Drosophila melanogaster: one gene and its partner. The protein of the gene in region 1 purifies or fractionates together with the protein of each later gene. This does not show direct contact. Each region holds a gene or a part of one and is shown in the gene's direction. Other genes may lie near its edges. The genes, in order: CDK2AP1 and MTA1-like.

Evidence for each region.
Region 2: the proteins of CDK2AP1 (region 1) and MTA1-like purify together in Drosophila melanogaster (affinity purification with western blotting, with the first as the bait; one study listed by BioGRID). This does not show direct contact.

What each region holds. Positions count from the first base shown.
Region 1 is NC_004354.4:11,136,106-11,140,318, forward strand, and holds CDK2AP1 (CDK2-associated protein 1), read left to right. Parts: upstream 1-1,753; 5' UTR 1,754-1,951; coding exon 1,952-2,797; coding exon of another isoform or gene 2,798-2,839; 3' UTR 2,840-3,584; downstream 3,585-4,213. Other genes in the region: ssp7 (short spindle 7), read right to left, coding at 3,739-3,829, 3,896-4,004, 4,073-4,139.
Region 2 is NT_033777.3:5,645,729-5,650,571, reverse strand, and holds the start of MTA1-like (metastasis associated 1-like), read left to right. Parts: upstream 1-1,833; 5' UTR 1,834-2,047; coding exon 2,048-2,075; intron 2,076-2,661; exon of another isoform or gene 2,662-3,301; coding exon of another isoform or gene 3,302-3,356; coding exon 3,357-3,518; intron 3,519-4,843. Other genes in the region: Sec23 (secretory 23), read right to left, coding at 1-852, 912-1,190.

The sequences.
Region 1 (4,213 bases):
ACATAAACAAAAAACACAATTTAGTCAGATTTTTTAGGTCGAAAATAATTTTATTTCGTTGTTTCTTGACGAGCGATAAACTTGTGGAAACTAAGCCCCGAACCGAATTCAAGGCATTGACAACTAAATCGAACCCAACTGCTTGTCGAGGTCGCCGACAGCGTCTGTTTTTTTTTTTTCGAGTGTCCCAGTGTGTGTGTGTGTGCTGCTTGCGGGTCGGCGTTAGTATGTGTGTTTGTGCTGAATTCAAATGCCAACTGTCGTTTTCGTTGCGTCTGGCAACGGATAACAAAAAGGAAAAACGGCAGCCCGCTGGCTGGGAATTGGAAATAGGAAAAGGGGAGCTCCGAGCCAGCGTAGGATCGCGAAAATCCCAACCGAGTTGCTGCTTTTGTTGTTGTGCGCCCATTTTGTGGGCACTGGCGGCACTGTGCAACACTGACACACACATAGCGACACATATGCAGCTGCGGCAAGCCTTTTGGCCGAAATGCAGCGAAAAAAACAACAAACCGCGGCGTTTGGCAGCCAATCAATGCTTTCCGCTCCTAATTAGATGCAAAACTGATGAGAGAGAAACACAACACTTGCACACACACACATATGCAAGGAGTGGGGGGAATGCGTTTGCTTTATCGCTTTACGTCATACACAGAGCACCCACACACACTTGCGAGCAAACACAAACACACACCGATGCAGAAAACAGACGGTCGCGGAAATTTAATTGAATTTTTCGCAATCTTCTGCCTTTCGCTCACCTTTCCTGCTATCTTCCCAACCGCTACAATGTGTTAGCACTTTCCATTAAAAAAAAAACTGGCGGATTTATCGACCGATCACAACGAAATATCACAAAATCTGCTAGAAATAGTTTTGCAAGCGACCAGATGTCAGCAACACAATTTTTTAGTTTCGCCTCGCCATTGTTTTTTGTCCCCGCCGCGTTGCGCAGCACTGGACTGCAGCGCAAACAGTGCTGGCAATCAGCCGTTGTGTTTGAAAAGTGAGACAATTGGCGTGTTAATAAGTGAATAAAATCCATATTAAGCAGGGTTACTATTGGCTAAGTAGTTTTTGGGTATATTTATGACTTTTTAGTAGAAATACAAGTATAATTTTGACAACTTGAGAGTTTATTATTAAGATTGATGTCTTGGCCAACACTAGGCAAAGTAACCGTTAAAAATGTCAGCTGTTTTGGAATTTATATCAATAAGTAATAAAAATAAGCGACCGCTTTTGTTGGCATAAGCATAAGTTCATTAAAATGTGCCTTATTTATTGAAAGAATCAACGTTTCGGCAATACTTTGTATATTTGTGTGCAATTGGCTTTTCCGCCCCCCGAAACTAGACAACACTAGACATACATAACGTTGGGTATTTTTAAGCCCTAACAAAATTAGCTGTTTAATAAGACAAATTGGGAGTGCCTTATCAGGGTGAACTAGGTATTATTCGACGTGGATGGTTATTCATTTGCATGGTTTTACCGTTTTGTCATTCATGTATACATATGCACTTGGGTTAAATTTTGTAATTTTCTTGTAGTTTTATGGTTGTTAATTATCTTTTTTTCAAAAACATTTAGCCATTTACCAATTTGGACAAAGAGCTTTCCACATGTATACAAATTGCTTGTACAGTGGAAACACCCACATTCGAGACGCGAATAGGTGGGCACTTTGCATCGCGCTTGTCTATCGATACTATAATCCGAACCATCGACTTTTGTTGGTGGGGGTGTATTTGTTTGTGCGTTGAAGGGAAAGCGTAATAACGCCTCCTGATATCGATATCGATATCATATCACAAAAAACAATAAACCAAAAAAGAAACGCTAAAAACTAGTAGTTTTGTGTGCCAGGAAAACGGAAAGGTGGACATAGTTAAGTTACCACAACAACCGACGGATATCGACTCCAGACACCACATCGCCCAGCGCCACCATGGACATCATGGATATCCAGGCCGTAGAGTCCAAGCTGAGTGACGTCACGGTGACACCGATACCGCGCAGCCAAGTGCAGAATTTCTACAATTACCAGCAGCAGCGGGAGCAGCGCGAGCAGCAGCCCCAAATCCAGATATCGGCCATCCACCACTCGCGTGGATCCGTTGGCGGAGGAGGCGGATCCAACTCATCCAACGCTGCCACCGACTACTCCACGAGCAGCGGTGGCAAGCGGGAGCGGGACCGCTCCTCCGCCAGCGACTACAGCAGCTCGTCCAGCAAGCAGAGCTCCGCTGCAGCGGCCAATGCAGCAGCAGCTGCCGCCGCCGTCGCTGCCCTCCAATACTCCCCGCAGTTCCTCCAGGCCCAGCTGGCGCTACTCCAGCAGCAGTCGAACACGACGGCCACGCCGGCAGCCGTCGCCGCTGCGGCCCTCTCGCTGGCCAACATGTGCTCCAGCAATGGTGGTCAGCGGAATTCCGGTGCCGGCGTTTCCTCCACCTCCTCTGGCAGCAATGGCCAGAGCATGGGCCTGAATCTGAGCTCATCGCAGCTAAAGTACCCGCCACCCTCCACCTCGCCCGTGGTGGTGACCACCCAAACTTCGGCCAATATCACCACGCCGCTGACCTCCACGGCCAGCCTGCCCTCAGTGGGCCCGGGCAATGGGCTGACCAAGTACGCCCAGCTGCTGGCCGTCATTGAGGAGATGGGCCGCGATATCCGGCCCACGTACACGGGCTCGCGCAGCTCCACGGAGCGTCTCAAGCGGGGCATTGTCCATGCCCGCATCCTGGTGCGCGAATGCCTCATGGAAACGGAGCGTGCGGCGCGCCAATGAGAGGAGGAGTCGCTGGCGCCGCAGCTGGCGACCCCGGAGTGAAATGGACCAGGAGGCGAGGATCGGCCTCATCTAGGTTAATTACCCCCAAACAAAAAAAACAAAAAAAAACACGGACATATAGCAAACGCAAAGATCCATTTTGTCCCAATTAAGCATTAAAGTGTAGCAATTTGTACTAACTTGTAAGCCCACATCAACTTAATGGCCCTCGGGCCGCCGGACCATAGTTAAAGAATGTTTAGACTAGCTCAGGTTACAATCGGTTAAATCGACAATGCTACAAGTATAGCTGCAGCCCAAGTTATTGGACTTGTGTATCTCTACCGTATACCCATTAATTTGTATCCGTTAATGCAAGACCCAGTTGCTCCTGTGTCTGCGTTAGTGAATGCAATCAATTACGAGTATCTAATGGCAACCGCCGTCGAGGATTTGCAGATACAAATGCAGATGCAGATACGGATGTATCTGGACAGGATTTGTGCGAGTTTGTCACTGCCGGATAAAGCTGCTCCTCGTTATTTTAGAGAACTATACAAATGCAGATATGTAGATGTAGTTAAGCAGAGATATATGTATACATATATACTTGTTATGCAAGCGAACAGTGTGCATGTCCAAGTGAATGGTGAATTAGTGGCAATTGACACGAGAATATTTATATATGTATACACATTATTTACTATATGTATGAGAGCAAATACGACTAAGTTCAAGCATGTATACCAAACCGAAACCGAAATCGAAATCGAAATAAATGCGCTATTTTGGTTTTTGTAAACGCAGAACTGGCAAACTTGATTCTAATTATGTATGAACCCCTCATAACCATCCATCCAACTGCATCTCTCATTTAAGGTATGTATGTTTCTATAGTTATATATTCAGTTTTCATAGTTCATTTCACATTTGCAGTTCGACTTGCGAGGGAGGCGTTGTCAGCAGTTGAACTTGGGACAGCAGCCGGGATAGGGTTTGCTCAGATCCTCTTCCATTTTGCAGGGCTTCAAGGAGGCGATGGCCGGGCATCTGGATGGCCACAAGTGGCAAGGTGGGTGAGTCAAGGAGTCATCAATCCATGTAGAAGCTACTCACCCCAAGGCAGTCACCTGTTTGGGTGCCTGGCAGGTGTACTGCAGGCAGCGACCTTCCGGCGTGTACTTCTCTCCGGTCTTGAACTGATGCCCACCGATCTCGCAATCCACTACGAATGAACAAGATGAACATGCGGGATTGAATGGTTTGTGGCGACGATGCACTGCATCCACTTACCGGCGAACACCAGCAGCGAGTGGGCGCCCAGAACGAGCAGGCAGAGTACGAACGTGACCGATTTCATATTATGTAGCTAACTGATCAACGGATCGCTCGGCTGGGCGACTATATAGTTCCACTTGTTTCGGGGTGCGCCAG
Region 2 (4,843 bases), on another chromosome or scaffold:
GCCGCCAGTGGAGTTGCATAGCTGCTTCATCTCCAGCAGTCCGGTTTGGTCCAGGGCACACGAGTATATGTCGACACTATGCCCGTTGGTGGCTGCCCGCAATGCCAAAGCATCATAGTGTTTGATAGCCTTCTTCATAAACCGCACGTTGTCCTTGTGGATGTCGTGATGCGAACGAATCGGGTGCTTCAGCTCGTCGTCGACCACCTGGCCGGGGCCCTGGGAGCAAGGGCCACCCACGAAGGTCATAATGCGACCGCCCGTATTGGGATAAGTGCACTCCAACAGGCCCACCGCAATAGATAGGGCGGCACCAGTGGAGCGCAGGTAACGCTTGCCCTGCGGCACCGGCCAAGGATCGCGTTGCAACTCGCTAAGCAGATCGCCCAGCGCCGCGTCGCACTGGCCGATCGGTTGCAAGAAGCGATGGGCGGGCGGCACAGGGGCCGCCGCTCCAGCCGGCTGGCCGGGCAGGTGCTGCTGTTGCTGCGGCCCCGGAGCCGCTCCACGCCCAATTCCGAGCATATCCTGCACCTGCTTGGCAGTCAGGTCCTTGGTACCACGAAACACATAGCTCTTAGAGCAGCCTTCCGCGCCCAGCTCGTGCACCTGTATCATTTTTCCGAAGGTTATCAGACCCACGAGAGCGTTGGTTGGCAGCAGACTTAGCGACATTTGCAACGAATCCTTGAGGGCGTCCAGCTCCTCCTCGTCCATGCAGGTGTCAACCAGGAAAATGAAGACGGGCGGCATGGTGGGGGCCCGTGTAATAGTATACTCAATAGTGCTGAATCCCGGAATCAGCTCCGCTGGTTGGTGCTGCTCGGAAATGGCAGCATATTGAGGGGGAAACTGGAATAATGACTGTCATAAACTGCCGCAGAGAGTCTAAAGATCACCATTGAGCTCACCGGATTGCGCTGAAAACAGAAGTTGCACACCCACAACTTAGCACGGTAGTCCACCTGGCACAGTGGATTCAGGATGGCCCTGCAGTTGCTGCGAGTGCACAAGACCGGCTCATATTGAATAGGCGGTAGGTCGGGGCGCTCCTTCAAAGGCTGGTAAAGACAAGCTAGGGGCACCACCAGCCGACTGGCTTCGATGCGACTTGAGGGCCACACATTCCACGTCAGCCGCACTCCGTCGCGGTCCTCGTTCTGCTGGATGAACTCCTCGTAGGTGGTCATCGCCGGAACACTTAAATGTAATACTTAAATCGGAAAAACCTCTGTTAGACCTCTGCCAATTGGAAAAATCGGTCGGTCAGGCCACGTCACGGATTGACAGCGAGTCGTGACACCTTTCGTGCTGGCGACGGCCAAAATACTCACGCGAAAGTAAACAAATTCGCGAGATGAGTCTTTAAGAGGCTCTTCAAATCAAAGCACTCACTCTGGAAACAATTTATACAAACGTACAAAACGTAGAAACCTAGACTACGAACTATTACAGAATTTTAAGTGCAAACGTTGCATGTTAGGGAAGACAGTTTTCAAGCGATACTATCGCATGCGCCCCATGCGATTGAATGAATGTTTTAATATGAGAAAAAAAGGGTGAAAATAAATATGTTTTGAAAATGATAAATAAAACAAGGTTCGCCCATAATTTTTTCAGTTAATTTTCTTAATGATATATATTGTTATTCAAGAAGTATATATAATATAAATAAATATAAATCGTATTCCTAGAAAAGCCCCTTATCGTTTTTCTTATCGCCCCAACTAAATTTTAACATTAAGTTTTTACCCAACACCCCATGTATCGATTGCTATCGATGGCCAAACTATCGCACCGTGGAGTGCATCCCTGGTGCAGCTGTTTACTCGGCATTGTGTGTGTGTGCGTGTATTTTTTAGAGTTGAGTTGTTTCTAAGATGGCGACGAAAAAAACGCGTCTTCTTATGTGAAAAATGCAATCATAACAACTCGAGTTTTCTGCTAATAAATGTGCGCTAGTTTGGAACAGGACCATTGAAAAACAGTGCTAAGCGTGTGCCGAGTGTTTTGCATGTGAAAGTTTTGGTGCGGTAGCGTAGTGAAAATGGCCACAAATATGTATCGAGTCGGAGGTGAGAAAAATTTTCGCGTACTCGCTTTTCTATCATCTTTCGTTATCGGCGCCGCCGTTTCACGGTGTGCGTGTTCGCTTCTGCATATGTGTGTGTGTGTCCAATGTGTGCGTATGCGTGTGTGTTGTGTCTGAGGAGGCTTTCCAACAATAACGAAAGTGCATTTTAATTGCCGAAAACCCTTTAGTGGGAGACCCGACGCACGTGTATGTGTGTGTGTGTGCGTGTATTATCAATCTCAAGAACAATCCGTCGAAAAGGAGAGACCTTTTCTATTTTTTTTAACTTCTTTGAAGGAGCCCCCTGCTGCTCTTGTGTCGCAGCTGCAGCAAGTGTTTTCGACGTGTTCCAACCGATAAGCATTAACTTATGCCCTAAGTGTATGCGTGTGTGTGTATTCTAGGGCTGGGGAACTGAATTGCATTTGCATTTGGATTTGGTTTTGCCGAATTGTGATCTCTCCAGCGTGTGTGTTTGTTTGACTATGTGCGAAAGTGTATCTCACTTTTGGGCTCACCGCCCACCCGCCTTTTTGTGTTTTCATATGCTAATGAGCTTTTGAGCATCTCCCCCCATCTCACGCCTCCCACTCCTCACCCTGCCTGACGCACTTTCTGTTAGCCATCTCGCTCGCGCTCGAGCGGTGACGTTATTGTGTTGTCTTCACCTGATTTTCGCAAGTGTGTGGGTGTGTGTGCTCTTTCGAAATGCAAATAAGCTCGGTCGGATACGCAAGCTTTCAATTAACGGAATCAAAATAAATATTAATGGCATATATACTTGTCGAATTATCTGCTCTTTATCGCCGAGAACTTTTTGTCTCCATCGGCGTTTTTTGTTAGCCGTTTTTAATGGCCACGCACACAGTTACACACCTTCGGCAATGCTTTCTCGCTGCCTCCACACTTTCTTTTTCATCTCTCTTCATCTATCTACCCATCTATCTGTGTATCTGCATCCCAAAATGTAGCAGAAGTGCACACGACGTTTGTATCTATGTATGTATGTACATACAGATAAACGGAATTTCTTTTATTTTTTATAATAGTCAACGACAGGTTCCGCTGCAGTTGTTGTAGGTATAAAGTTATATGGATGGATAGACCCATATGTATTTAATTGCGCTTTAGCTGGTAGTGGTGGTCGCACTTAGGTGGATGCGTGTATAGGTGTATGTGTGCGCTTACCTGTGACGTATTAATGGAGTTGCAGCCCCCCACCCTTCCATGCCCTTTTCTGACCCTTTTGCATCAGCCACCTCAAAAACTGTTTTTTTTTCAGACTATGTTTACGTTGAGACAACGCCGAACAGTCCCTACTTAATACGACGCATCGAGGAGCTGAACAAAAACCAAACCGGCAATGTGGAAGCGAAGGTCATGTGCTTCTACCGCCGCCGGGATCTGCCCAATCCGCTCGTGCAATTGGCCGACAAACACCAACGTGAGTAGAGAAACCCTGTTCCCTCGAAACCGCATCCATATCTTGCGTTACGTTACCTCTAAGTGTGTATATTTATTGTCAACAAAGTGAGGTTATGTTGCCAAGAGTCGTTGTCGTGGCCTTCAAACAAGTTAAGAGTTAAAACCTGACGACCAGATCTGCTAAGCACATGCCCACCACAAAACAACAACAAAATGAACCCGTAAGGGGCACCACTGTGTGCGCTGTGTCAAGGCATGTGGAAAGCGAAGCCACCCACCGAACCACCCAACCTCCCACAGTGCCACCCCATCCCGCAATCCTAGTCAAACTTCCTGAGCAACAAGAACCGCAATGACAACAACTGTGAGGGCGGAGCGAAAACGGATTTCGTCCAGCATCCGACTCATCCACATAAACAGGCAGTGGAACCTTCAAACAACCTGCCACATCAACTGGCAGTGTAACCACTCTACTTCGAACCAGAAGCACCATTGATCTACGTTCCAGTAGCGCAATTTGAATTATTCGTGTCGCAAATTAGAAAAAGCATTTAGCAAATAGTCTAAAAAGATATTGGTCATAGAAACTAGGTGTTTTGGGAACTGGTAATGAACATAAACACGCATCGTGGTGCGGAAATAGCCTGTAAATTATTAAGTTCAACCTTAGGCATACATATGTACATACGTTAAGGTGCCACCGGTTTGCTCTAATGATGCTCGACTGTAATGAGCTGGGCTGCACTATACTACCCGTAATGCGGTTGTTGCTGTTTTCGGTTGCTGCTAGGCGGCGCCGACGTCAATGTGAATGTGATACTTGGTTCGGCTGTAGGTAGACTACAGTAGTAGTCTGTCTACCTCTGAAAAGCTGCCACACATACCCATGCCCAACCCAACCCCAAACCCACTGACACTGCTGCTCTGTGTGCACGAAAATGTTCAAGTCAGAAGTTGGGATCTGGAGGGGATTGGAATGGAGCAGTGGAGTGGAGTGAAGCTATGGCGATGTGGCACACGCAGGAAGGCGCGCTTTGCATTTGTGTATACATACACACAGCGCCTTCATCCACTTCCTCTTCGCCGTTCCAAAAAACTCACAAAAACCATGCCCAATTGGGTTGAATTTTTGGCTTTGGCCACCCACTCGAATTCGATACGTGACCGTCGCGAAAATGCGTTTTCCGTGGGTCTGACCTGGCAGAGCAACCCACCCCAATCCACCACCCCATTCTACCTCCTACACTCCCACAAGACCAACAATGCCCATTAACACAGCCCCTTTCGGCCCCAACATCATCGGACCACTGTCATCTTGCTTTATTTTTAATATAAGTTATCCAT